Linked DNA regions of Oreochromis niloticus. The protein of the gene in region 1 binds, or shares a complex with, the protein of each later gene. Links are inferred from orthologs where the notes say so. Each region holds a gene or a part of one and is shown on either strand. Other genes may lie near its edges. The genes, in order: snw1, cwc15, crnkl1 and armc7.

Region 1 (7,285 bases):
AACAGATGACTGATGTGTACAAGAGCATAAAACATAATTACTGGCAAATTCTCTCTCAAGATGCTGTTCATGTGGCACAACTGCAGATACCGCTGTTTGACCGCTGTTTCAGCAGTCACACATTTTCAGACTCAAACATGAATCTAACATGCTAACACAACTCCATTAATAGCCGTACTCTGACAGACATTTCAGTTTGGGTCATAAATGATCAAAGGTTGCTCAGTCTGTGTGCACTGGGGTGCAAAAACAGAGCTCACTTCAGTTATGCTCCATTTGATCAACATCCCACCATCGTTGAGCAGCAGAATTATGTATGCTCAGCTCTAAAATTCGGGGTCCCTTTTCTAAAAAAAATTCCAAACTTTGTAATGAAGTGATATTTTTCATTTGTTGTTCTCATTTATATATGACCTTCATAAAACAACAGTGTAAGATGAACATTTCTAGATACTGCAGTTTCCACATGGCAGACATCCAGTATGAAAATACTAAGGAGTCTAATGTAAGTGTGGTTGGATCCCCCACGCACATGATTTCTATTTTAGTCAAGGAAAAGTGATGCGGACAAAGAGGTTATTTTTTTGGGGGGATGATCTGAGTTGATTCCTAGACTCCAGTACGTATGTTAGCTAGTGTAAATCATTAGCTTACTGTTAATAAGCTATACCAATATGCTGTTGTACCCACATAAAAAGAATTTAAGAGTAGCGTGAGTAGAACTGAAAGAAGTTTAAGAAGGCCTCAGGCCCACGTACTACAGAGCACTACAATAACTGGAAGTCAACTTTCCCACCCTCCTCCCTGACTGTGTGCAGTGTTGATAATCTTCTGACTAATACATACCTGATGTACTGTGCAGGAGCTTGTTTGTCTGCGGCTCTTACAGGCATGGCAGCAGCGATTTTTTGAGACACCTGCTTCTCCAGGGCTGCACGGGTCTTCTCTGTGAGCTACAAAGGACACAAAAGGATGATCATGTTTACATTCCAGATTAAAGAAATCCAATACAGGAATTGTTTGCAATTATTAGCAGTCACATGACACAAGAGAAACTGTACTCCTTAAACATTTAGTAATAAGAAAGCATCCTGACTGGAAACAACATAAACTGATGAAGGTTGAGCAATGTGCAAAATCGGGAGATTAACAATCACCAAGAACATCGCAGGCTTTGATGTACTCAAAGCCTGAACTGTCTTTATATTTTCTTTACTTGTTTATTCATTCATTTAGGCCTTTATGGTTTAGTTTGCAGGAAGGATTAAATGGACTTGAATCAGTAATTTTGTTAGACAACCTTGTATTTCATAATGACAACTAAAACAAATCTTAAAGATAAGCAGAGTCATCCTGGTGTCCAACACTTCTTACCAATTAAGTTTAAAAAGTCTAAATACAAAGTTGTCAAAACTAATTATGACAAATTGTTTCACTCGCTCAGCAACTTTACTGGGACAAAAATATACGTTGTGCATTTTTCCTTTGACATTAGCAGATTTTTAATTGATACCTCTAAAAAGCCCTTTGTGGCAGTTGTTGGTTTTGAGAACGCCTTTATATAAATATTTTACTTCTTTGGTAAATGGTTCTAAAAATGACTAGTGAGTACTCAAATCTAAACCTGCTCTTACCTCTTGTATAGCCTCCTCATCTGGCTTCTGTAGTCCTGGAGCATCTTCATTGAGAACTTCCTTTGGAAGCAGGTCTGTGTATTTACTGAAGATCACCTATAAGAATGAAAAATGAAACCAATAAAGGAATGCCACTTTTTAAAATCAAAACAGAGCCAGACATGCAAATAAACTAAAGCCTAAATGTCATTTTCTGGCAGTGTGAAAGTGATGCACATGAGAGAGGTTTTATTCAGGCTTTAAGAAGAGAATTGCTGATTTGTATATTATGATTTAAAGACAAATCCTTGGAGTGTGTTGAGAGGATCCCTGCTAACTGTCGAAGGGATAAAATGCCCATATACCTTATCCTTTCCCTGTCCTTGTCTGGCAATGGCATCATATTTGATCTTTCCTTCTGCATCCACTTGTACTGCCAGGGCATTTGATGTCTTCTTCTTTCTACCCATCTCCAGAGGAAACTGAGCCACATGGATCTCTGGGAAAGCACCTCCATCTCCGAAGTCCTGCAGAAACACATATTTTGCTGTGAAAACTCAGGGTTGATTTCATCTTCAAACCGTAGAGGTTAGACAAAAAGGGACCCAACCATAAGTGAGCAAAACAAGAAACTTATCCCATATGAGCAAGAGGTTTTACCTCGAGTGAGCGAGGTATCCAGCCCTTTCTGTGTCCATAAGGAGGGGGCTCTCTACGGGATGCAACCAGGGCGGTAGAGTAGGACTTCTGGGCCCGGAGCTTCTCCTCTGCCTCCAACTGATCTTGGGACAGCTGGGTCGGCGCCGGTAAAAAGCTGAACACACAGGAATCCACATGTAAGTCTCAAAGTGATGAACAGTAACACAAGCGCTGTATGCCCTGGCTAGCATTAGCCGCTAGTGACAACAAATAGCTTCGAGGTTAATTATGACACGCGTGTAAGTGTCAGTTAAAATAGCCAATGATCAAGGTAAGTTAAAAGAAAATGTTAGAGAAGCCAACTTTAACACGCGGCTGACTAAACTACGTCTACACAACGAACTACATCATATCGTGACCACGGCTGCGTGCTGATAAGCTAGCTATTGCTAAATGTTGAACTCGCGACATTTTTACTTGCTAGCCGTAGCCGTTTGGATCGACTAAATCAGATACAGAACCGACAGCGTACATACCACAAATACCAGTGTGATACATTAATCGTAGTCTATACACCTGAAACCAATCAGTTGAATCGATATCTTATTTAATACAGTTTCACAATTTATAAATACAAAAGGCTTTATCGTGAAGCTCACCTCGTCAGAGACATCTTCCCGTTTCTTCCTAAGCGATAGACTGCGCATGCGCGAAGACAGTACAGACATGCGCACGATAGAATAGACGACAACCACTAAACAAGAAACGTTCTGGACAAAGTATATAGGAGGAAAGCAGAAGGGACATTTGTGTGGTCTATGAAACAGTGGCTGGAGAAGGAAGAGCAGAATTCTTTATACTTTTTAAGTTAGAAAAGTATCTTGCAAAATTGAAAACAATTACTCATTTAAGAATAGAGGAAGTGGTAACTGATAACCCGAAAATGATAACTAATTTCTGTTCATCCTATTATAAAAAAAACTTTATAGGCAGTGATGGTCTGGCTTTTCTAAACTCTTTACAAAACACTCCCAAACTGGAAGGAAGGTGAGGATTTATGTGACACTCTGTTATCTGTCAAAAAGTCTGTGAATGGTACTCCTGGCCATTGATCAATGGTTTTTGATCAGTGGTTGTTGATCAATGGTCATGACAATTTGCATGTTAATGATTAAGGAACTGACCTCACAGCCCATTGTTTATTCAGTGGGCTGGTTTCAGTTATTGTTCAAATGTACTGTTTATAAGGTTGGGGAAACCTGCAGTCAGCTGAGACTGAAGAAGTCACTTGGATGAGTGATGAAACGTTTCTCCCACTGAAAACACTATGTCCAGATGAACAGATTCAACCTTTTGAAATCTACAGGAAGGCTGAAAAATAACAAATCACCAGGGACAGATGGCTTGTCATTTGAGTTCTATAAGTTATTTCATCCTCAGTATGAATGTATATCAGTTGATGCATTACCCTGGAGTATGACTCAAGGATTAATTACTCTAATTCCGAAACAATAACTGATGAAGAGCAACTTGGCTTTTTACCTAACAGACATATTTCCAGTAATATCAGACTTATCTTGGATATGTTGAATTACTCATACATAATTCCAGATAATGGCTATTTTCTGTTTTTAGATTGTTTTAACGCCTTTGACACGGTTGAACATCAGTTTTTACATCATTCACTTAAAAGCCTTGCCTTTTTTCGTAGTTATATAACAATGCCAACTGCTCTATTAAGCTTAAACATGGATCATCAGCCAGATTTAATGTTCAGCGAGGCATCAGACAAGGCTGTCCACTTTCACCATATCTTTTTCTTCTTGTTGCTCAGCTGCTCTGCTCACATATAAAATCAAGCAACTTACAGGGCTCTTCTATCACTAACAGGACATTTCTCATTAGTCAACTTGCTGATGACACAACATTGTTTTTAAAAGATAGCACGGGGATTTCTTCTGCAATTATTCTGTTAGAATTATTCTCTAAAGCTTCTGGTCTTTTGCCTTAATCTTAAAAAGTGTGAATTATTTTAGGAGTGCTTAAGAAGTGTTTTATTTGGAATAAGAGTTATATTCTCTGTAAAAACAAATCAATTTTTTCCAGAACTGGTTTGATAACAACATTCTCACGGCAAGCCAACTATTTAGTCAAGAAGTGCATCTGTTTACTTGTGCTGAATTTTTACACAACTATAAAATTCCTCTTTCTACAAAAGAATTCTCTGTTGTTTTTGACGCTTTCCCCTCAGGACTGTTTTCACTTCTTTGAGGTGTAACAGGAAATAGAGCCCAGCTTCTGCCTCCTCAGGTCTCTGGAACTGAAATTATTCAGACTATTTTTCTACCCTTTTAACCACCAAAAGAAGAACCAGACAACTCACAATCTGTTTCTTCAAGATGTGCTGTTCACGGTTTTATTTCGGGTGGTTATTTCTTGATTTTATGTTCTTAAAAATTGATAGCACATTTTCTAGATCATGCAGTAACAAACTGAATAGAAAAAAGTCCTATTACAGTCACAGAAAATGCATTTTAAATGCAAATTTTAACAAGTTGACGTAACAAGACAGTTTGCTTCTCTTTATTTCTTGTCTTTTGAAATGATCTTTTCCATACGAAAGCTTGTTTCTACTAGTGAAAAATTAAAATAAAATCAGCCCGTAAGTCAAAATTTTGACTTAATCAGTAATAACTCAAAATTTCAGATAGTAAGTTGAAAGTTGCACTAGGTAATGAATTTTGAGATAGTAACCCCAAATTTCGACTCAGCTCTGCGTGGCGTTTTGTTTCAGCTTTGATATTTATTTATCTCTGAGACTGAAATAATCAACAAGCTATTAACTGCACATTTTGTCTTATTCCAAATATTAAAAATAAGAGTTAATTTATAGAAACTAGGTTCACTTAAAGCAAAGCACTTTCATTCCTTAGAGATACGGTCCATACTCTCATCACGTAGTTGCTGCAGATTGCACAACTAAGATCTGGAGACTGTGAAGGATAAATTCTGACCCTGCCAATGCTGAAACAGAAATAATGGGGCTGTGCTTACACAGTGCTTTTCTACTCTGCATGAGTCCTATATTCTTACTACAAGCCTCATTTACCCATCCTTATCTTGATCAACAAAGCATTGAAACACAGAGTAGGAGACTGGGAATCAAACCAAACACCTTCCGATTAGTAGATGACTCGCTGTGCCTCCTGAACCACAGACCAGGTAACGTGTTGAGAATCTTTTATTGCCCGATTTTGGTTAGTGTGTGATGTGTATCCCCAGCTTTCTGTTCCCTAGATGACAGAAGTAGCAACCAGTAGTTCTTCTGCTTTAGCGCATCTACTTCAAAGTTTGATATGTTCTACATTCAAAGATGTTCCTCTGCATAGCCTCATTGTACTGAGTAGTTATATGTTACCTTCCTATCAGCAGCCTGGCCATTCTCCTCTGACCAAGGCATTTTCACCCAGAGAACTGCTGTTCACTGGATATTTTCTCTTTTTAAGCCATTCTCTGAGAGTTTTCAGTTTTCAGTTTTATTTGTCATATGCAAGTTAGCACAGGGTCAACATCGCAATGAAATGTGTTTGACGAGCAGCGGTCTCTCAGCAGCATGATACAGTAGGAAAAAATATAATAAAATATAATATAATAAAATAAAATAACAAATAGAAAAATAGTAAAGAACAAAATATTAGAGAGACATGGTAAAAGAGAAAAGATGACTAAATATATATGTATCTATAAATATAAATATATGTACACTAGTGATTAAATAAGAAAATCTTGAAAAGAAATATGACGGGAGGGCAGATGGGATATTGCACAGGAATGAGCAGCAGAAAATTACAGTATTGCACTTTTTAAATATAAATATCAATAACAATAAAGTGAAGTGACCAGTGCAGATTAAACAGAGTACTTGTGAAGCTGCAGGGTAGCTTCTGAGTCCTGTGTTGTGTGTGTTTAAGTGTTGTGGTTGAGGTGTCGTATGGCTTGGTGGTAAAAACTGTTTTTAAGTCTTGTAGTCCGAGCAGACAGACTCCTGTAACGTCTGCCAGATGGTAACAAGGAGAACAGCTGATGTGCTGGGTGGCTGTGGTCCTTGATGATGCTGTGTGCTTTACGGAGGCATCGCTGGTGATAAATGTCCTGAATGGCAGGAAGCCTCGTGCCAGTGATGTGCTCTGCTGCCTTCACCACCCTCTGTAGTGATTTACGGCTGCTGGCAGAGCAGCTTCCGTACCAAACTGTGATGCAGCTCGTCAGCAAGCTCTCGATTGCACACCTGTAGAAATTTGAGATGATGCTGGCGTTCATGCCAAACCTCCTCAGCCTCCTCAGGAAGTAAAGCCGCTGGCGAGCTTTCCTGATAGCAGTGTCTGTGTGAAGGGTCCAGGAGAAGTCCTCAGTGATGTTGACTCCAAGGAACTTGAAGCTGCTGACCCTTTCGACCTTGACACTGTTGATGTGGATGGGCTGGTGTTCCCTGATGATGGATGGATGTGTTGGAAAATTCCAGCAGATCAGCAGTTTCTGAAAGACTCAGACCAACCTGTTAGGTACCAACAACCATGCCATGTTCAAAGTCACTTAAATCACCTTTGTTCCCCATTCTGATGCTCAGTGTGAAATTGATCTTGGCCATGTCTATTTATGGCTAAAGAAACTGAGTTCCTGTGTTTGTAATATATTATCTATTCTGAGAAACGTGTTTTTTCACTAAAGTGAAACTAAAGATTTTCAAACAACAAAAATGAAGCTGACACTAGTAAACACATTTTGGAAACTGCATGAAATTACCTGACGTGAAAACAAAAACCTGACACAAAAAATAGGAACTATTTACAGAAAATATGGCTCAAAAATTTCTGCACACCTGAATGGGTGACAGAGTAAAAGTTCCACAACAATTTAACTGTAACTCCTCCACGCTAGATTTACAAAGTCCTAATGCAGTAAGTGAGACAGTGTGCAGGAGTTATATTTACATTGTTGTGAAATTACAAAACTATGCTCACTGCCTTTATAAG
Region 2 (7,141 bases), on another chromosome or scaffold:
ACCTGTGCTTAGTGCTTTAATCTCTTGTGATGAATCTTTCTGGAGATGTGCCAGCCCCAATTAAGCAGGTCAAATTCATTATTCATAGAAAAGGAAAGCAATTCAGATTTGGTAATGAGCCCCTTCTCACACAGGCCGTGAACAGGGGTGTGAAGTCCATTTTTGTGCCGTATTGTGTTCTCACCTGTTTGTGTCAGAGCAGATCAGTGTCGGTCCTCCTCCGGGTCTCTGTGACACGCGAATGAGATAGCAGAAATACCTTCACCGGAGCCCCACCCCCTGCAGTTTCAGATCCCGCCCCCACCCCTCTCCCCTGTTAGTTTTGAAGTGCCGCACCTGGATGATGCTACACAGGCTCATTGAGCAAGCGGATAGGCTGGGTGATAAGAGGGACAGCACTGTTTTGTGGTTTCGATTTTTCTGTGAGTGTGAGAAGTCACATTCCAGAGATGTTTTCTAGTGAGATTTTCAGTCTTTGCTGAGAAGCAAATTAAAAATAGGCTTTTATAACCTGCCTGACAGCTTAAAGGTATTTAAATGAACCCTGCAGGTTAGTGCTTGATCCTGTTTTCTTTCCTACTAATGGCTATAGCAGGGGATTAAACTGAACTCAATTCTGCTCAATATTAATGTAATCTCTTTATACACTTATTGGTGCGACCCTCCACAACAGTCCCAGTTTCTCATGTGGCCCCATGGGAAAATTAATTGCCCATCCCTGAACAATAGCCTTTGTGCCACAGAAAAAAAAGTAGACAACTGAAAACCTGCATATCATTAACCACAAAAGTTTTTTTTTTTTTTCAAATATAAAAAGCTTGTAGTATTGTTTCACCCACAACAAAGACTTTCTTTCACAAGCATACTGTTCCAGTTGGTAGGCTTCTAGGAATCAAGCGGGACCAGATCTCAGAGTTGTTCGAATTTAATCTACTGTCTCATCAGACCTTTTTAATAATATTTACATTGAAAATCCTTGAACCGAAATGCCCATTCTCTCCAGTGAAAATAAAAGAGCACGGAGAAAAGCTTAACCTCATTATCTGATGTTTACTTTACATTTTAATAAACTGAAATATTCACATTTTGGTCTGTGGGTGTACAGGGGACTCTGTGTGCAAAAGCGATTAATGTGTTTTTTAATTCTTGTAATGGCTGTGGCTCATAGGGTATACAGCAGGTTGGTGGTTGAATTGCTGGCTGTTCCAGTTTGCATGCCGAAAGCATCCTTGGGCAAGATACTGAACCCTGAGTTGTTTCCAGTGTGTTCATTGGAGTGTGAGTGTTAGACAGGAAGCACTTTATGTGTGAATAAACATTTTGTATAAAGTCCTTTGAGTGCTCAGGTAGAGTAGAAAACCAGTATATAAGAACTGGTCCATTTACTTTTCAGGTTTTTAAACGTAAGGGTATTCACTTTCTTTCACTGAGGCTAACTCAAAACCTGTAAAGATGCCATGAAAATGTTTAACTTTTTTTTTTTATAACTGTGTCATTCTTTTTTATTTTTCCAGTTTTCTCCCAGTTTCTATACTTCAGTTTGTAAAGTTTCACAATAGGGATGTGTATGTGTGGGTGCACAAGTATAAGTATATATATCTGTAAATTTGTATATCTTTTGACGTGTTACTCAGGTAATAAAAGCAAATACATGTAACAAATTGTAAGGAAGAATTTATGATGGGTAGGGCATGAACAGGAAGAAAAAGTGTTGACTATTAGTTACTAAATAGTGGAAAGGTGGTGGGATTAAATAATTTTATGCTTCTTCCTACTCCTTTTTGAACATGTAAGTTATTTATAATTATTATTGTTTTGTTTTCCTTTAGTTTTGCTTTGCTTGTTTGTCTATTTAAACATGTTCAAAATAAAGATACAATACAAATACAAATAAAAGTATTGCTGCTTAGACAAAAAATATTTGAATGGTAAGTGGAATCCAGTAGAACCACTTCTTTTCCTGGTTCTCTCACAGAACAGTATCGAGATAAAAGAGAAACCATCGAAGTGGTGAATGATGTGTACAATTAGTAATGAAGGAGTGTACTTTTTTTTGTGTCATTAAAATGCATGTTACAAACATAAAGGGGCCAACGTTAAAAGTGTGTGTCTTTTTCAACACAACTAAGTTATATTACTACTAATAATAGAATAATAGCAGTAGGAATTTTGGTGAGTGTAGCAACACTACTACAAAACTACTGAATGTACAGGGTGGGCCATTTATATGGATAGACTGTAATAAAATGGGAATGGTTGGTGATATTAAAGTCCTGTTTGTGGCACATTAGTATATGTGAGGGGGCAAACTCCTCAAGATGGGTGGTGACCATGGTGACCATTTAGAAGTTGGCCATCTTGGATACAACTTTTGTTTTTTCAATAGGAAGAGGGCCATGTGACACATCAAACTTATCGGTAATGTCACAAGAAAAACAATGGTGTGCTTGGTTTCAACATAACTTTATTCTTTCATGAGTTATTTACAAGTTTCTGACCACTTATAAAATGTGTTCAATGTGCTGCCCATTGTGTTGGATTGTCAATGCAACCCTCTTCTCCCACTCTTCACACACTGATAGCAACACCGCAGGAGAAATGCCAGCACAGGCATCCAGTATCCATAGTTTCAGGTGCTGCACATCTCATATCTTCACACCATAGACAATTGCCTTCAGATGACCCCAAAGATAAAAGTTTAAGGGGGTCAGATCAGGAGACCTTGGGGGCCATTCAACTGGCCCACGACGACCAATCCACTTTCCAGGAAACTGTTCATCTAGGAATGCTCAGACCTGGCACCCATAATGTGGTGGTGCACCATCTTTCTGGAAAAACTCAGGGAACGTGCCAGCTTCAGTGCATAAAGAGGGAAACACATCATCATGTAGCAATTTCAAATATCCAGTGGCCTTGAGGTTTCCATTGATGAAGAATGGACCCACTATCGTTGTACCCCATATACCACACCAAACCATCACTTTTGTTGGTCCAACAGTCTTGGAGGGATCCATCCAATGTGGGTTAGTGTCAGACCAATAGCGGTGGTTTGGTTTGTTAACTTCACCATTCACATAAAAGTTTGCCTCATCACTGAACAAAATCTTCTGCGTGAACTGAGGGTCCTGTTCCAATTTTTGTTTTGCCCATTCTGCAAATTCTGTGCACCGATCTGGGTCATCCTCGTTGAGATGCTGCAGTAGCTGGAGTTTGTAAGGGTGCCATTTGTGAGTAGCTAATATCCGCCAAAGGGATGTTCGACTAATGCCACTCTCCAGTGACATGCGGCGAGTGCTACGCTGTGGGCTCTTGCTGAATGAAGCTAGGACAGCCACTGATGTTTCTTCATTCGTGACAGTTTTCTTGCGTCCACAGTTTGGCAAATCCAACACTGAACCAGTTTCACGAAACTTAGCAAGCAGTTTGCTAACTGTAGCATGGGAGATGGGTGATCTCGTAGGGTGTCTTGCATTGAAATCTGCTGCAATGACCCGGTTACAACGTTCACCAGATATCAACACAATTTCGATCCGCTCCTCACGTGTTAACCTCTTCGACATGTCAGTGGCTGTGCACAAAGAGAAACTTGTAAATAACTCATGAAAGAATAAAGTTATGTTGAAACCAAGCACACCATTGTTTTTCTTGTGACATTACCGATATGTTTGATGTGTCACATGGCCCTCTTCCTATTGAAAAAACAAAAGTTGTATCCAAGATGGCCGACTTCTAAATGGCCACCATGGTCACCACCCATCTTGAGGAGTTTGCCCCCTCACATATACTAATGTGCCACAAACAGGACTTTAATATCACCAACCATTCCCATTTTATTACGGTGTATCCATATAAATGGCCCACCCTGTACTGTGTTAGAGTTGTTTGTGTGACCATTACAGGGAGGTTTTGCTTTGAATGCATCTTCTACGCATCTGTTTGAGCGTTGCACTTAACAGCATCCTCATTTAACTCCTTCACTGTAACACAACGCACTATTCAGAAGACAGGTCACTCCTCCGCTGATGCCCCTGCAGTCTATTTAGTCTATCAGTCTTTCGGAAGTGGTGGTTTCCAAAATAAAATTTAGAGAGGCTGTAGCATATTTGTTAAGTTATACGCGTAGACCCTAGTGGTGTCAACGCTATGTTGAGATGTAAGAAGTTTAAAATCTCTGATTTTTCGCACGCTATTTTCTCTGAGTGTTTCTGAACGCATCTTTTTTTTCCGGAAGTGACGTTGATTGTTGTATCGGTGTTCCTTTCGTCGTGTGGTAGCGGCTTTGTAAGTGTTGTTTCTTTAAACCTAATTTTTAAATACTGCTTAATGAATTTTTTAAATTTCCTTTATTTTTGGCTGTAATATCACTTCTCTGAAACATTATCCGTCTTACCGAAGGCTCGAATTAGTGTCGTTTTCAACCTCATCGGCGTTGTTATAGGAAGTTAGCGTAGCAGCGTTTTAGCTTTAGCAGCTAGCAGGCTAATTTGTTCTTTTCATTTACTGCCTTTTAGCAGCTGATATTTATCTTACAAAGAAGTATTTAAAATGCCACAGTCTCAATTTAATCAGAAAATTGTTAATTATAGGTTTAATTGGTTGACCTGGAGTTTTAGCAGGTGAACAAATGATATTTATTAGGAAAATTACGTAACTTGTCATCTAAATGCCTCTCAACTGTTATTTACGTTGCTAATATAGATATACACGTGAACTATAAGCGGTTTGATCACCACTGAGGTTTAATGAGTAGGTAATTGATATTTGGGAAAGGGTATGTTGTACCAGCTTGTCTAAAAACCAAAAAGATGAGCCTTCTGACTTTCTATAAGGCACATAAGTGGAGTAAAAGCGTGTTGTGTTGTAGGGCACTACAATTTGATTATGGACACCGTGTCTGCTCTGCTTTTTCTGCTTGCAACTTTTCCACCTGTTTGATAGGTTTAATGTCTTCTTTGTCCCATTGCAGAGCCATCAAAGATGACTACAGCTGCAAGACCAACATTTGAGCCGGCAAGAGGAGGGAGGGGTAAAGGAGAAGGTGATTTGAGTGCTCTCTCCAAGCAATACTCCAGTCGAGATCTTCCAGGTCACACAAAGATCAAGTACAGGTCAGAAGATCAAATGTGAATGGAGTTTTATCATTGCCTGATCTGCTGGCTGGTTAGCTAGAAGGAAAGATGCTTTCGGATCAGTTTGTACTGCATTATCTGTCTGCTCACTGTGAGATTGGTGAAAGTGTTCCAGAAAGCGTTCTGGACGAAAATTACAATTTATTGATCTGCTAATGTTTTCCCTTCTGCAGGCAACCTACCCAGGATGCCCCTGAGGAGGTCCGTGCCCGTGACTTTCGTAGAGAGCTGGAGGAGAGGGAGCGTGTAGCAGCACGTGAAAAGACCAGAGAGAGGGGACCAAGAGGTTGGTCTTTCTGCAGAAATTAGACTTCCTGTTTATGTAAAATATATTTTAGTGTATATTTATTTTCTCACATATGGCATTATGTTGGTCTTATTTTTTCCAGAGCACACCACATCATCATCATCTTCTTCGTCATCTTCAAAGAGGCCAAGACTGGATCAGATCCCAGCTGCTAACCTTGATGCTGATGATCCTCTCACTGATGTGAGTGTCTACAATGCAAGACATTTTGGGCACTTAACTTGAGTAGTGGTTAGTACTGATTAATCTCCCTTAACAATGATTTTTATTTTATTAGGATGATGAGGACGAGGACTCTGATCAAGATAGTGATGATGATGACACTGCAGCTCTTTTGGCTGAATTGGAGAAGATTAAAAAAGAGCGTGCTGAAGAGCAAGAACGCAAAGTAACTGTGTTTTAGGCTGTTCTGTTTGCACTAACTAAAATAAGACGTTACATTTGGTCAGAAGAAATATTATTTCTTTGTATTAAGTAAAATTTTCTTTTTTCCATCTTAGGAGCGAGAGCAAAAGGCAGAGGAGGAGAGAATTCGAATGGAAAATATCTTGAGCGGCAATCCACTGATTAATTTGGCTGGACAGCAGCAACAGAACCAGACACAGAATACATTCAGAGTCAAGAGAAGGTATGTCTCACTTATACACAGTCACCCACAGTATAACCACAGGATGAGCTTTGTATTTGAGAAAAAGACCTCTTAAATCTAATCTTGATTTCATTTCCTAATATTATTCAAGGTGGGATGATGACGTAGTGTTCAAGAATTGCGCCAAAGGAGTGGATGAGGCACGGAAGGAGAAACGCTTTGTCAATGACACACTGCGCTCTGAATTTCACAAAAAATTTATGGAGAAATATGTAAAGTAGAGGACTTCCTCTGTGTTATTTGTATTGTTTTTGTTTTTATTATCTAATGTGTTTGGTCTCCTTCCTCTACCCTCTGTTGCAGAGGGTACATGGTTTTTCAAATAAACTCTGTATACAACTTCATTAATACTTGTACAGTCATCCATCTATCCATGCTATTAACCACGTATCCATCTGTACAGTCATGCTGTATATAAATGTGTCAACGTGACATCTTTGAGTGAAATTTGTCAAAAGTTAAGTGCAGTTTTTAAATGTGACCAAGCATTTATTTTCTTTTGGGTTTTTTTCAATAAACTGGCAGAGATTATATAAACCAGCATCTCCACAAATGCACAGTTAGATTAGGATCCAGTCAGATCATCAGATGGAAATGTCTTCCTTCTGTTTAGCCACTCCACACACACAAACATTTCATTTTAAACAGTGTAGAGATCTGCAGTCAAGCCTTTATTTCTTTATGCAGCCATCTGCCATCGACTTTTTTCTGCTTATCTTATTCAAGGGCACAGGGGCGCTGGAGCCTGATTTAGACTTCTGTGGGAAATTGTAACGTAACCGGAAAGCCTTCTTAACCCTACACCGCAACCTGATCTGCACCACTTGAGAAATATAGCTACACATCAGGTCGAAGCAGACTGCAACAACTGAATGACATGGAAGGTTAGAGCGTAGAGTTAAGACGGGTTTCTGGTTGCAGTAGAAAGAACAACTTGGATTTCCTGCAGAAGTCTAAATCAGGCACATCCCAGCTGTCATTGGGTGAAAGGCACAATACACCCTGTCTGTCGCATTTCTTGTCAAATTAATTTTTTTTCAATAAATTGTCTTCATA
Region 3 (6,915 bases), about 21 Mb from region 1:
CTAACATTTCAGTGCAGCTATGTAGTGTAGTGGTTTACACATTCAACTGACAGGCAAAAGACCTACAGCCCCAGATCCCTTTAGGATGTCTCAGGAAGGGTATCTGGTGCAAAAAGTCTACCAAAAAAACATGTGGAGCTGCCCTCTGTAGCTTCCTACTACTGAGAGAAAGTTCTTCTGCCACCTGGTGGCCAAAAAGAAAAGAAATTCAGCTTTAACTTTACCAGGTGTGCTGTCGAATGATCGCTTTTGCTCAGGGAGGTTCCCAATATATATATATATATATATATATATATATATATATATATATATATATATATATATATATATATATATATATATATGTTCACATATTGCATCAGTGAGTCCACTGGTGTCTGATGTAAATTTCATCGTCAGACAGTGAGTGTGAGCCTCTGGGCAAACATCCAGGTGCCTTTACAATATACAAACTACGCAAGTGCCCTTCAGGCAGACTTCAAGGAAGTGTAACAAGAAGGAATACTCTGCTGTGTTTGCCCGTGTCCATGCCCACAACCTTGTATAAGCCCTGCTTAACCACAGCCATGAAAAATTAAACATGCTTCAGGGCTTCCTTTATTACGTCCTTCAGTAGAGGATAGTTTATGAAAAATGGAGATAATACCATCCCTCAGTTCAAAGTGATGCACCATCAGAACAGTCACAATTCTCATATGCACATTTTTCAAAACTAAATTCATTGTAATTACTGTTGAATTTTCCATCACAGCTTGCTAATATGTCAAAGTGCTCTAAAGGTATATCAGCTTTATCAACTTATAAAGTTGTTTCCTTGTTAGAAGCACTTTATGACAGGTTTAGAAAAATCCTTATCAAAGGCAAGAATTAGGGGATCAGGAAAGCTATTTCATTTCCCCTTGTGACTGGAAAAGGTAACGAGCTGCCTCCACTGTTCTCCTGGAGTTCCTTCTTTCTGGGTTTTGCATTTTCTCTGTTTTCTCTGGCAGTTCTACGTTTAACACCACTAAAAACATCCTTGGTCCTTGCATCTTCTGTGGCATAACTCTTATGCATTATTTAATAGCCTATTGTAATTTCAATCATGAAATAAACTGTTGTGCTCATAGAATCTTAGTTCTTATGAGTTCTTCGTCACATCTTACATCAAAATTGATGTGAATAAATGTTTATTTATAGTACATCCATCTACACTCTTTTATTCACTCTACTGTTTAGTAGCCTGGGGAGGAATCAGTAGAAATCACCTGGCTGCGCGCACATGAGGCCGGGGACAGTGAGCTTTTCTGTGGCAGATCAATGCCAAGCACTGAGGCCCGGGGTCGGTCAGACGCTCCAACGGCTCAAATATTTCATCCAGTGCCGGCTCTGCAAGCACAAAAAACATCTGTCTGAGTCTCTTGGAAATTAATGCTTAAGTGAATTATAGACTTTAACTTGCTAAATCTAAATCACCTAAACCACCAACGTGTGGGCTGAGCAGACAGACGTATTCAAGCTCAGGAATGGCGTTAAAGATGGACCTGCGAAACAAAGCGCATCAAGAAAAATGATAATTTTACACATACTGCATTCACCTTTCAGGACACCTGCATACTGTGCTTGCTTCTAATCAAAGTGCATTGTAGTATCTACCTTGCACTGATATATGAATCTTATCGAATGATACAAGAATTTTTAAAAAAGGGGTCTTTGTTTGTTCATACCTCATTATCTCTTTCACACTTGCTGTGGTGAAATCCGTCCGTGCCACAAAAAGGTGGAGGAAAAGTGTGTTGAGAGGCTGCAGAAAGACAACAGTTTAATCCACTGCAGGTGTGAGCTCACTTCATTTCATTTCATCTAAGCAGAGTATGGGCACTTGGCCACATTCATTCCAGGTGATGTTAATTGCCTCTACTTAACGAAAACCTTATGTTAAAATCAGTAAATGAAAGGTACAGACTGTGCATTGTCCAGCACTGAAGTGTTCCTGCAGGAAAGCTTCCCACTGCGTCTGATCCACCAGATCTCCAATAGGGTGATCAAAGAAGGAAGCGTGGCCTAGGATGTCGCCCTTTTCATTGGTCAGAGTCACAGCCAGGTTAGCTTTCTCTCTGAATGAACATGACAAGAAAGCTCAGTGATGGTCTCTGTAAGTGTTTGAAATTAACTGAGAGCACAGACGTCTACATCAATCACCACATAATTGTGATGAGAGTTGCATCCACCACACGTTTTCAGAGGCAACTTGGTCCTCTTAGATCCTCCAAAGGAAAACTGAAAGAAGCAGTTTGAAGCAGTTGCTATGACCGTCAGGTGGAAGTGGGAGAGCTGAGAGAAGAGCACCAGTTAAGGTGGTTAAAGCATGTGAATCCCTCCTAGTTGAGGTGTTTTGGGGATGTATAAGCCCCCATAACAGAGACCACACTGCCCTTAGAACTAGAGGTGGGGAAAAAATCAGCATACTATCTTATTGCTAAATTTTCTGTGGCAATATTGTTTTGATAGAGGGAACCAAATATTGATATTTTATTAAATAAATTAAAATATTCTTTGAATACTATGAACAACAGGCGTAAGCCCACACACCACCATTCTCTCATAATGTTACATTTCAACTGCGTAATAAAAATAGAAACAAAATCTAACACAAAGTTACCTCCTAATTCACAGCAAGCTAATTCCTCATCACAAAGCATATGATCTACAAAACATAACAAACAAACAAACCATCTACAAAACACACACACACACACACCCTCCAAAGGAAAAAAACAAAACAAAACTAGATGGCTGTCTTATGATTGAATTTTTTTCACAAATGATTGCCTGGAGCTCTTACAATCACTTTTGATCACCAGGCGATTGCACAGGTCGCCTGATGGGAGGCAACCTTCCTGCAAACAGTTGTAGTCTGACTTTGACTGACTGCAATCATTCTCAGAGAGATTTTCGAGAGCTAACTCCCATCCCCTCCAACACTATAATTCTCCTACAGTTCTCAGCATGAAAACTGATGTGAGCAAATAAACAAGAATAGATACTGTGAAAACAATATAACCATTACACTTAAGACAAGAATAAACCACCATACAGTCGGTGGAGAACAAAAGTAATATTATAGCATAGCTATATATTAAAGAGATGATAGAATTCTTGCGTTTTCATGGAAGTTTATAATTATTTTTGACGTTTTAGAGACTACATAATTCAAACAAATTATCTAACAGTGATTAAAACAACTTATCCAGCTTGTAGGTGTGTTTGTGTTCAGAGAGCATCTAGTTTACGGTCTAAACTCTGCCGCTGAGATGTTTAAGAAGAAAAACTTTTCTCACAGCAGATGAATAACATTGACTCTTCCAAACACCGCCTGCGCAGAGGGACTAATGAGGCCGTCGATCTCTTCAGCGTCCGCGGACTCGCTTCTCCTCACGGTCACCGTTACCTCCCGGGCGCTGTCTGAGGTTACAGTCCGCATCGTCACCCGTATTATATGGACAAATAGTACTAATAAAACTACAGCAGACGAAAGACTGCCTTTTTGTAATAAACTGTAATATCAGGCTGGTGGATAGAAGAAGGTGAAATTTAATATAAATTTATTTAACTGAATTCAGCTCACTGTTTTCACCTATGAAGAGCTCAAACCCAGTTGCCATAGTAACGTGACGCCAGAACTCCCGCGGTTTAACCGGAAGTCATGAAGCAACTGTTTAAAGCACTAAAATCAGTCTAGAAACGAGTTTTTAGTCTTCATCAAAACTTCCTCAGACTGGACAAATGGACTCAACTGAAGTCTGTTATAGTGAATATATTCTCTATATCGGACAACGTATATATAAATTATTCAAATGGCATTGGCGAACAAACGGTAGATGGCAGCAACACGTCTGCGTTTTGAAGAAAAAGAAAAAGAAGAAGAAGACGCGGGGCATTGTGGTTACTGTCACGGTGGCTGGCGCTCGGTGAGACGGAAACGTTTCGCTGCCTGTTTGCGCCGTTTGGTAGTTGTCGTGACAGTTTAAGTGAGGTTTTTAACGTTGTTTGTTGGTTAAACCGGCCATCAAAATGGCGTCTACGGCAGCAGGCAAACAGCGGATACCGAAGGTGGCGAAGGTAAGTGAACAGAGCAGTATCAGCGCTCCAGGCTAATGCTAACATAGAACTCGGGCTAACGGAGCAAAATTAAAATCTAATCTCATCTTTTCACTGCCAAAGTTACTCACAAAAACGTGCTACACTGTAGTACATTTAGGGCTATTTTACCTGATGAACAGGTAGCTCTGTGGTCTGAGTTTCACACAAGTTACATTAGCTGTAAACTTTCACCACGCTCTGCTTTGTTTTGGCTTCCATGTGTTTTACGTGTCCTTAATTTAGTCTTGTTTATATTAGGATTTAAAATCTGGTACATTTGAGTTTCTTTGTGTCTTTAAAGTTAGAAGTGTGTTTAAAAATGACTATTATAGTAATAGTATGTGAAGGAGGAGTGGACTGTGATTGTGTTTACAGGCGACAATGTGATCTGTATTGAGAGTAGGGAGCTTCTGGAGGTATATGGAAGCAAGACAGAATACATGTGTGTAAATGAGAGGGAGGCGGGTGTACCAGTGAAGCTGAAAGGAGTAGAGGAATTGATGGTGGATGAGTTTAAGTATCCGAAGTGAACCATCCAAAGCAACGGACAGTGTGCGAGAGTGGTAAAGAAGAGAGTGCAAGCAGGTGGAGACGAATGTCAGGGGTGATTTCTGACATGATAGAGGCAACTGAGAAAGCTTACAAGATGGTAGTGAGACCTGCAGTGATGCATGGTTTGGAGACTGAAACTTACAGGAGGCCGAGCTGAAGGTCAGGGACAGCTCTCACCAGTTGCTTTGGAGACAAAGTTAGAGGCAGAGATGGTTCCAACATGTGCAGAGGAGGGCTAATGGATATACTGGTCAAAGGATGTTGAAGGTGGACCTGGCAAGCAGGAGGAAAAGAGAAAGACCTCAAAAGATTGATGGATGCAGTGAAGAAGGACATACAGAGGGTTGGTATGACAGAGGATGATGCTGGCATAGGGTGAAGTGGGGATAAATTTTGGTGACTCCTAAAGGGGGGAATCAAAAGAAGAATAAGATGATGATCAGTCACCTCAAGGTGCTTTATATTGTAAGGTAACATAAGCGATTAAAAACTCCAACAATCAGGAGAACTTGGTGTCTCTGGGGAGGAAGAACTCTATTTTAACAGGAAGCAGGTTCAGGGAGAGGCTGTCTGCTGTGACCAGTTGAGGGGAAGAGAGGAAAGACTAATTTTGTGCTCACGCTAATTGTATTTTGTGCTGTGTTTTAGGTGAAGAATAAAGCTCCGGCAGAGGTTCAGATTACTGCAGAGCAGCTGCTAAGGGAAGCCAAAGAGAGAGAGCTCGAACTCCTGCCACCACCACCGAAACAGAAGATCACCGATCAGGAGGAGCTCAATGACTACAAACTGAGGAAGAGGAAGGTAAGCACTTCCATCATATTTTCTCTCCTGGTAGTGTTCACATTGCTCTTACTCATACTGCCATTTTTGCAAGAATTTTTTCCCCCACTTTATTTATGTTTAAAAAGCCAGCATAAAATATATTTGAGGTGTGATGCTCTCTGGCTTTACTTCTGCTCTAATAGTTATGTTTAGTTAAACAAATGTGTTTGTAGTTTTAATCTAACAGGAAAATTTGAGATGTTTCCAGCACACAAAAATATGTTTTTATAGTTTTTGGACATGATGAATGTCTTTTTCTTTCAGAGCTTTGAGGACAACATCAGGAAGAACCGGACTGTCATCAGTAACTGGATTAAATACGCACAATGGGAGGAAAGTCTGAAGGAGATCCAGAGGTACTGAAGCAAAAACAGCTGAAAGTCAGAATATTAAATGGCTACAACTTCGCACGGGGTCAATCACAAACAACTTAGTCTTGGTTGTACTGAAATAAGTAGAATCGGTCTTCACATCTTTTAACATTTTAGTAAATGTTTTAGAATTTTTTCTCATGCCCATGTGTCTGCACTGTCCACTTTTACCTCACCAACGGTTACCCTCGTTTCAGAGCTCGTTCCATTTACGAGCGGGCGCTAGATGTCGATCATCGCAACATCACTCTGTGGCTAAAGTACGCCGAGATGGAGATGAAAAGCCGCCAGGTGAACCACGCCCGCAACATCTGGGACAGAGCCATCACCATCCTCCCACGAGTCAACCAGTTCTGGTAGGACTTAAAAATCATTTAATCGCCATATTTATTTCTTGATTGTTTTGTCTGTAAAATATCAGCAGGCTTTGGCAAGTGGCACAAGTCACAATTTTCAGTCCTTTTCTGTAGTTAAAAATTGAATAAATGTATTTGTTGGCTGATACTTTATTGACACTTATCTAACAATAGAGTAGCTGAAATGTAACCTGATGTAAATGATGTGTTTTAAACTTTGAAAAGTGCATCGTGTGTGAGTGTGAGTCTGCTTGTGATTGTACAGTTCTTATGGAGAGTCTTTGCTGTGCATTTGTTGTCTGTTTTTCTTAAATCTTCTGTGTTTCTTCATTAAGTGTGTAATATTTTGAATGCTGTTCCTTTGCACAGGTACAAGTACACCTACATGGAGGAGATGCTGGGAAACATCGCCGGCTGCAGGCAGGTCTTTGAGCGATGGATGGAATGGGAGCCTGAAGAGCAGGCCTGGCACTCTTACATCAACTTTGAGCTGCGCTACAAGGAGGTGGAGAAAGCCCGCACCATTTATGAGCGATATATCCTTTTGTTGCTTTTACTAACATGCAGGGAACTATGTGTTTCCCCACAGTTAAATTCAAACAATATAATAAAACTTTAAAATAAAGAAACAAAAAGCACGATCAGGGTGATGGTCTGAGTCGTCCCACAGAGCTTGAGTTCATTATTGTCAG
Region 4 (6,888 bases), on another chromosome or scaffold:
TGAGGGAAAGTGTGAATGTTGAATGTTTTTGTTGAAACGTCCAGGCAAGAACATGTTAAATGACACGATACCTGTTCAAATAGCATCAATTAACACACAAATTCAGGTTTTTTTTACTTCTATATGATAATTCTTCATAATTAAAGAATAAGAACAAGTAGTCTGATGTTCTGTAATCATTATGAAGCTATAATTTGAAATACAATAACACATTACGTTTTTGTACAAAGTATCGGATCAGTATCGTCGATACCACCCTGAATTTGACTTGGTGTCTGATCAGAAAGGAAATCAGTGGTATGCACATCACCACTATGCAGCCGGCCTCCTTCAGAGGAGATGCCCCCTGCTGGTTAACAGGAAGAAGGCAAGATTAAGGGATTTCTGCACAGGCAGACCCACAAGCTACATCCATGTTTTGTATTTACAGTCTATGGTTATACTGCATCTGTTATTTTCTATTGTTAACTATCATAACTGCTGATGTACACAAGCGAAAGATACCCAGCTGGATCCTGGGAGGAGACAAATCCCTTGGCGGGTTGCGCCTGGCATAAAAAAAGTCTGTCAAATCAAACATGCGGCGCTACCTGCTGTGTTGATCCCTTGTAAATAACAGAAAAACTAAGAGTAGCTTTCTTTATTTTAGAGTGGAGAAAAGCAAACAAGTACATTTTCTCATGTAAGCACAATTTCTAAATCCTTTGAGAATTTAAAATTTTGTACTTCTTTACAGTAGAATGCTGGACTAGCTCCAAATGGCCTTTTCTCTCTATCTACAATGTTTAGTTATAAGTTACAGATCTTATATTTGAGTGAATAATTATTTCATGTCACACTGACAGTGAATTTAAAACCTTTATTTTGACAGTTCAGCGTCAGTTATTACTGAAAATACAAGTATAAGGGATTTTAGTCGTGTTACAGCCATCAGACTGAATACATCCCAACACCAAGGAGTTTGATTTTCCTGCTTCACTGAGCAAAAACTGAAGGCAGAGCTGATGTTTGTTGAACGGGATTAGCGTCTGTGCTTTGACTTTTAATCCTGACTACAATAAAGTCACACCAATGAAATACAAATGAAAACCTCCACAGTGTGCATTTTAAATAAATGATCTTTAATAATGTATAGCACAAATAATTAATAATTGAAGAGAGTTTCATTCATACAGTCCATTAGGTTGCAGTCAACTCTGCCCCCTGCTGGAAAAACAAGTAAGTAAAGGAAGATGCTGGTCAAGCTCCTTTACTGGGCATCTTGGACAGTGTTGTGTCCAGCCCAGATGTCTATACAAATCTGTGAGGGTTACTTCAATAAATCCATTACTGTAAGCAGGCCTCAGTAAAAATATTCAGCAAAGCCATCTTTGCACATGTGGACATGTGCAGCGTCCACCTGTGGAGACCTGCTCTGTATCACAGTCTGCTGCAGAGGCACTGAGGTTCAGGCTGCTGCCGCCTTCAGCCGCTCCCTCCTTGCTGCTTCTTCTCGGTCAGCTCGTCGATCTGCTTCTGCCGCCTCTCCAGGACCTCCAACCTCTTGGTGTCGTTGCGCGCTCGCTCCTGAGCCCTGAGTTCAACGACGTCCTCGAAAAACCTGTGTCTGCGCAACAGAGGAAGTATCGAATGAAAACAAATGAGAATTATGAGAATTCATTAGAGAACCAGAAAAAAATGGTAAGATTACAACCTTTCTTCTAAAGTGACGTGGGTGGTTCAGTGTGAGAAAACAGATTTTGATTTTACTTTCATGGAAAAATATAAAACTATAGCTTTACCAAAAAAAATGTTTTGTATATTCAGTTTCTCTCAGTTTAGTTTCAAGTAGTCTTCAGAGTGTTTTTGGAAACCTACTCTGTTTCCATTTTTCTAACAATAAAAAAAGAAGCTGTTGTCCAGTGTAACTAAATACTCATCTTTTCTTTCTCTTTTGTTGAATTTTGACCAAAGAATCAGCGGAATCATCAGGATTCATCCAGTGATGTGAATAAAAGCACAAAAAGTACTTAAACACATCAGATCACCTTTCCTGGGTTCACCTGATGTGATTCTAAAGACAACAGTGAGGATTAAACACGTTTTCAACCACAAGAAATCTAATCACAGTCATCGCAGAAGTCTGCTTGCTGTCGTTACTGAAGCTCTTTCTCCACTAAGTTTTAATAATGAGGTTATTTCAGGGCTCCTTCAAAGCTTTTAGGGATGTCAATTAAAAAGAAACAACCAGCTGTGTCAAAATGTCCAGTCCATACAACAAAGCACTGAACAGTAAAGATTTCTCTTTGGACTTTTGGTCACACAAAACACAGCTGTTCAATCTGAAGAGCTTCTCCACTGTGCTGTAAAATCGCTTGTGCACTAACGGCATGAACGAGTTAGTGGGACTAAAAGTTAATTGTATTGATAGGGCTTTTCTAGAGGTCTTAAAAACAACATCTGCAAATTCAATACCTTTAACATGATTTAAATATTATTAAAGGCATTTTAGATACAGCCAGGCAGGAGGTTAGAGCCCATCTCAGCTGTTACAGAGCAGGTTATCAGTCTGCTGCAGGGCCAACACAGACAGCTGTTCACAGTTCAGTCATTTTATTGTTCCTGCCGTTAAACCTGGTTTACAGACAGGCTCTCCAGAAATCATGCACAAACAGCAATACAAAAACAACAAACAGCAATACACAACAACCACAAAATAAATCCACATTCAAAATACACCAAATATACAAAATCATAATGAAATGTATCACATAAACTGATTTTATAACGCTCCTGCACAGGGAACAGAGCAGCTCTCTGTCCTCTTACACCTTACTCGTGGCACTGTCGGCATTTCTTAATTGAATGTTACTTAACGAGACCTTGTAATAACCTTGAAGCAAATCTTCATAGCTGGGAACTAGACAGTTTTATGTCAGTCAGGGAGCTCATGGACATCACCACATACTGAGTTTCCTCACTCGCAAATTCTCCGCCAGATTCTCTGAAATTTATTCTTTCTTTTTTTTTTCCTTGGGAATGTGTCTTTTTTTCTTTTTTTTTTGGGTATTTATCGTCTTGGAACTTTGCTCATTTTTTCTTGGGAACTTAATGATTTTTTTCTCATAGGTTTGCATGTTTTTTCTCATAAATTTGTCCTTTGCTAATTTCTTTGAAATGTCCTATATCTTTCAAATAAGCTTGCTTTTTTTTTGATTTTGTAATTTAATGCCTCTGAACTTTGCTCATTGTTTCCTTAGAAATTTGCCACAAGTATGTCTTTTGTATATATACATATATACAGTATATGCAATTTATTTTCTCGGAAATGTGCTCCGTTTTTTTTTAACAAAGTTAGCATATTATTGCCTTATAAATTTGACAATTTTTCTAATAAGTTTGTCCGTTGTTTTTCATTATTGTGCCATTATTTCTCGTAAATTTGCTATTTTTTTTCTGATACGTTTGCCATTTTAAAACAATAAACTAGCTATTTATTTTTTCGTTAATTTGGCATTTTTTCCCTACTAACTTTGAATGCTTTCTCTCTGTAAATTTGCCCATTTCTTTCATCAAAAATTAGATTTATTTTTTTTTTGTAAATTATCAATTTTTCTAGTAAGTCTGCCGAATTTCTAAAATTCTGACCTTTTTCTCTTTAACTCCTAAAGGGCTGCAGAATGCTGGGCCTAATACGCAGTCGTACTACTTCCCCTGTAGCACCTTTTAACAGCAAAGTCGTGCTGCTTTTATAATCTTCACTTCTGATCGGCTCTTTCGGAGCTGCATATTTATTAGGTGTGCAGTAAACACTTGCATGTGCACATGTCACGTACATCATGTCTGTTACGTACAGGTGGCTGAGCTGTAAACACGCTTTAACGTTACCTGTTAATGAAAGCAGCAGCGAGTCCAACGATGATCGTCCCGAACAGGATCGGTTTGGCGAGCCGTTTCCCGGCGGATAATTTGTGCTGCTTCATTTTCGTGGCTTAATTTTGCACTTTAAACACTGACCTTCCCCTACAGTTAGCTGAGGTGCTGTACACGCCCCCTTCGTGTCCCACAGTTTTTAGCAACTTCCGGTACCACGTGACACTAGCTTCCGCTTGACAGTTTTTCTATTTTGTGTCATGTTGTATGAGGGGGTAGTATTGCCACATTAACAAAAAACTATGATAGACGACCTTTAACTGCGTGTGAAAAATGTAAATCAGATTTGATTCTATGTAAGTGCGGCTTGACCGTATGTTAGCAGATCGAAACTGATTTTAAAACAAAAATCGTTTAAACGGAACCTTTGTCTCATCCACGCAGCTACACGGAGCAATTCATGGTCAGACCGAGCCGGGAACGAACTGAGAAGAATAATCTTAAATCATTTCCTCGAAAAAAATCTCGTTTTATTTTATTTATTCATTTTTTAGCTAAAGCGGAGAGCGGAGCTGGTGGTAGATGATGTGGAGGAGCGGCTCGTCCGGAGGCTCTGACCGCTTTGAGTATTTACAAACTCTGGTCACCGAGTTTCAGGACACCGACAGCGACGGTGGGAGCAGCTGTGTTTGGATTCACCTTTAAACTCACTACTCTGCTTTCTTCTGTTATCTTTTTTCCAATCTTGCCTTTTCGTCTTTCTGCTCCAGCATAAGATCCACAAGACAATAATATGAATCATAAAATAAAGTAAATAGAACAAAAACATTAACAAGAGGTACCTACAGAAAGCCTAGGTGCTCCTCTTGGGAGACGTACATCATCAAATAATTATTTAAAATTTGAATTTATTAAATACACATTTATTAAATTGAAATAATTAGTTTTATTTAAAATATATTTCAGTTGTTATTATTTCATAGTTCTGGGCTAAAACACATCATGAATTTATGAATGAATGTCAACCTCACCTATCAAAGTCAGGGGGCGGGGCTAATGCTGATCTGGTCAGTATCTTTACCTTTCCGGAGTCGATTCTTTCAGTGGGTGTTTCTCAGTTGCAAGTACGCTAAGGAGTCCAGCCGTTCAGCTTCAGAAAATGAATTATTAATTCAGCGCGTGTAGCACATTAGCTGTGCGCAGGCAATCCGGGCATGGACTGCAGCATTATCTGGGATCAATCTTCTTAACTTGCTGTGCAGGGTAACCAATCAGATTTTAAGGTCTGTTGACCTGCCACAGATAATTTGAAATGAACTAATATTTTAATGAATTAATTAGACTTTTAATTAAATATTTGTCTATTTAATTTTGGCACTCCATAGTTCTCATTTTATGTGATTAAAAGCTTTGTTTTTCCTCCTCAGAGGCGAAGGAACAAGTTCTGGCTAATTTGGCCAATTTTGCATATGATCCAAAGAACGTGGAGTATCTGAGGGAGCTGCAGGTGACTGACCTCTTCTTGGACATGCTGACTGAGGAGAATGAGAACTTTGTGGAATTTGGGATGGGTGAGTGTCACATTGACATCTCGTTCATTGTCTGCAGCAACTGTCAAGCCTTTATCTCTGATTTTGTCTCTCGTGATCTCAGGGGGGCTCTGTAACCTCAGCATGGACCCTGAGTGCAGAGATGTCATCCTGCAGAGCGACGGCATCCGCTTAGTCACAAACTGCTTGTCGAGCCGGAGGGAAGAGACGGTCCTGTCAGCCATCACCACCCTCATGAACCTCCTGACACCTGTGTCACGCTCTCAGATCACCGATCCCGCCATCCTGCAGTGCATGCTGCGCTTCTCCCTCTCCGAGAGCCCTCGTCTACGCAACCTGGCTACCGTGTTTCTGCAGGACTCCTGCAGCGAGGAGCAGGTGGCGCAGGCGCAGCAGCAGATGGAGGGGCAGCAGATGGCAGTCGGCATCCCGCTGCCCAAAGACTAAAGACAAAGCACAGACCTTTATTTTTTTTATAAGTGTGCTCTCTGTGAGAGCGTCACAGATGATTCACCCAAGGGAGCCAAAATTCGATATGTTGTTCCAAAAAAAATAAAAACATATTGGATGTCCACTCGTAAGAGGTAATGGATTCACTTGACAAAAATGATGCTGATTTTTTGGAATTAATAAAGTTATTATCTCATTAACTGTGAGTAAACCTTTCATTATGAAAAGTGTACTCCCAGTTTATGAGGTATTTAAGGCATCAACAAGATACCTTAAAATACCAAAACAGCAGTGACATGATGGCTGCCCTCTGTGAGCCTGGTTTCTTCAGGTTTCTTTCTCTTAAATGGGAGGTCTTTCTTCTTGCTGTCGCCAAGTGTTTGGTCAGAGGCAGCTGTTTGATTGTTAGGGTTTTCTCTGTATTACTGTAGGGTCTTACAATATTACGTCTTGAGGTGACTATTGTTGTGATTTTGTGCTATTTAAGTAAATTTGGATTAAAATGAAAGCGTGTGGTTAAATTTGACTTCGAGTCTGAAGCCCTCTCAGTGGTCAGTAAGATCAGGAAATTCTTCTTCTTCTCTTCTTCTCCCTCTGGGGGTCATGTGCCTCCATCTAAACCTATCCGAACATCGTCCTTTGTCACACCAATCCTCTGCATCTCATCCTTCACTACATCCACAAATCTTCTCCCAGGTTTTTTTTTCCCTCCTGCCTGGCAGCTCAGGCTTCCTTCGTCCAATATATCCACTCTCCTTCTTCTGCACACGTCCAAACCAACTTTAGCCTCATCTCTCTAACTTTGTATTCTAAACACTCAACCTGAAATGCACGTACATTACATCTTAAGCTTTAAATCAAAAGCCTGACATTACTGCACTCTTCACATATTCTTTCAATCCTTTTGGAGGATACATCCAGAAATCCATAAAACTCAATCTTTGCTACTTGAAATGCTATTGTCCCTCTTAACCATTGTCTTGTATACTAAACCAAGTATAGACTTAACTAATAACATGTTATTTCTTTGCTTAAC

What was found.
Region 2: snw1 (region 1) and cwc15 share a complex: the UniProt entries of both Homo sapiens proteins name them as parts of the minor spliceosome. The link is inferred for Oreochromis niloticus from reciprocal best matches to the Homo sapiens genes SNW1 and CWC15.
Region 3: snw1 (region 1) and crnkl1 share a complex: the UniProt entries of both Homo sapiens proteins name them as parts of the minor spliceosome. The link is inferred for Oreochromis niloticus from reciprocal best matches to the Homo sapiens genes SNW1 and CRNKL1.
Region 4: snw1 (region 1) and armc7 share a complex: the UniProt entries of both Homo sapiens proteins name them as parts of the minor spliceosome. The link is inferred for Oreochromis niloticus from reciprocal best matches to the Homo sapiens genes SNW1 and ARMC7.

The regions. Positions count from the first base shown.
Region 1 is NC_031980.2:2,829,105-2,836,389, reverse strand, and holds the start of snw1 (SNW domain-containing protein 1), read right to left. Parts: upstream 3,017-7,285; 5' UTR 2,926-3,016; coding exon 2,912-2,925; intron 2,428-2,911; coding exon 2,274-2,427; intron 2,141-2,273; coding exon 1,979-2,140; intron 1,731-1,978; coding exon 1,635-1,730; intron 954-1,634; coding exon 847-953; intron 1-846. UniProt on the Homo sapiens protein: Involved in pre-mRNA splicing as component of the spliceosome. As a component of the minor spliceosome, involved in the splicing of U12-type introns in pre-mRNAs.
Region 2 is NC_031975.2:10,962,827-10,969,967, forward strand, and holds the start of cwc15 (protein CWC15 homolog), read left to right. Parts: upstream 1-4,141; 5' UTR 4,142-4,281; intron 4,282-4,966; 5' UTR 4,967-4,977; coding exon 4,978-5,108; intron 5,109-5,302; coding exon 5,303-5,415; intron 5,416-5,518; coding exon 5,519-5,619; intron 5,620-5,713; coding exon 5,714-5,824; intron 5,825-5,936; coding exon 5,937-6,064; intron 6,065-6,176; coding exon 6,177-6,306; 3' UTR 6,307-7,141. UniProt on the Homo sapiens protein: Involved in pre-mRNA splicing as component of the spliceosome. Component of the PRP19-CDC5L complex that forms an integral part of the spliceosome and is required for activating pre-mRNA splicing.
Region 3 is NC_031980.2:23,432,760-23,439,674, forward strand, and holds the start of crnkl1 (crooked neck-like protein 1), read left to right. Parts: upstream 1-3,909; 5' UTR 3,910-4,053; coding exon 4,054-4,101; intron 4,102-5,322; coding exon 5,323-5,475; intron 5,476-5,760; coding exon 5,761-5,852; intron 5,853-6,064; coding exon 6,065-6,223; intron 6,224-6,592; coding exon 6,593-6,759; intron 6,760-6,915. Other genes in the region: cfap61 (cilia- and flagella-associated protein 61), read right to left, coding at 1,248-1,368, 1,456-1,523, 1,707-1,783, 1,946-2,096, 3,321-3,463. UniProt on the Homo sapiens protein: Involved in pre-mRNA splicing process. As a component of the minor spliceosome, involved in the splicing of U12-type introns in pre-mRNAs.
Region 4 is NC_031973.2:5,032,006-5,038,893, reverse strand, and holds armc7 (armadillo repeat-containing protein 7), read left to right. Parts: upstream 1-4,214; 5' UTR 4,215-4,434; coding exon 4,435-4,525; intron 4,526-5,279; coding exon 5,280-5,423; intron 5,424-5,505; coding exon 5,506-5,849; 3' UTR 5,850-6,373; downstream 6,374-6,888. UniProt on the Homo sapiens protein: As a component of the minor spliceosome, involved in the splicing of U12-type introns in pre-mRNAs.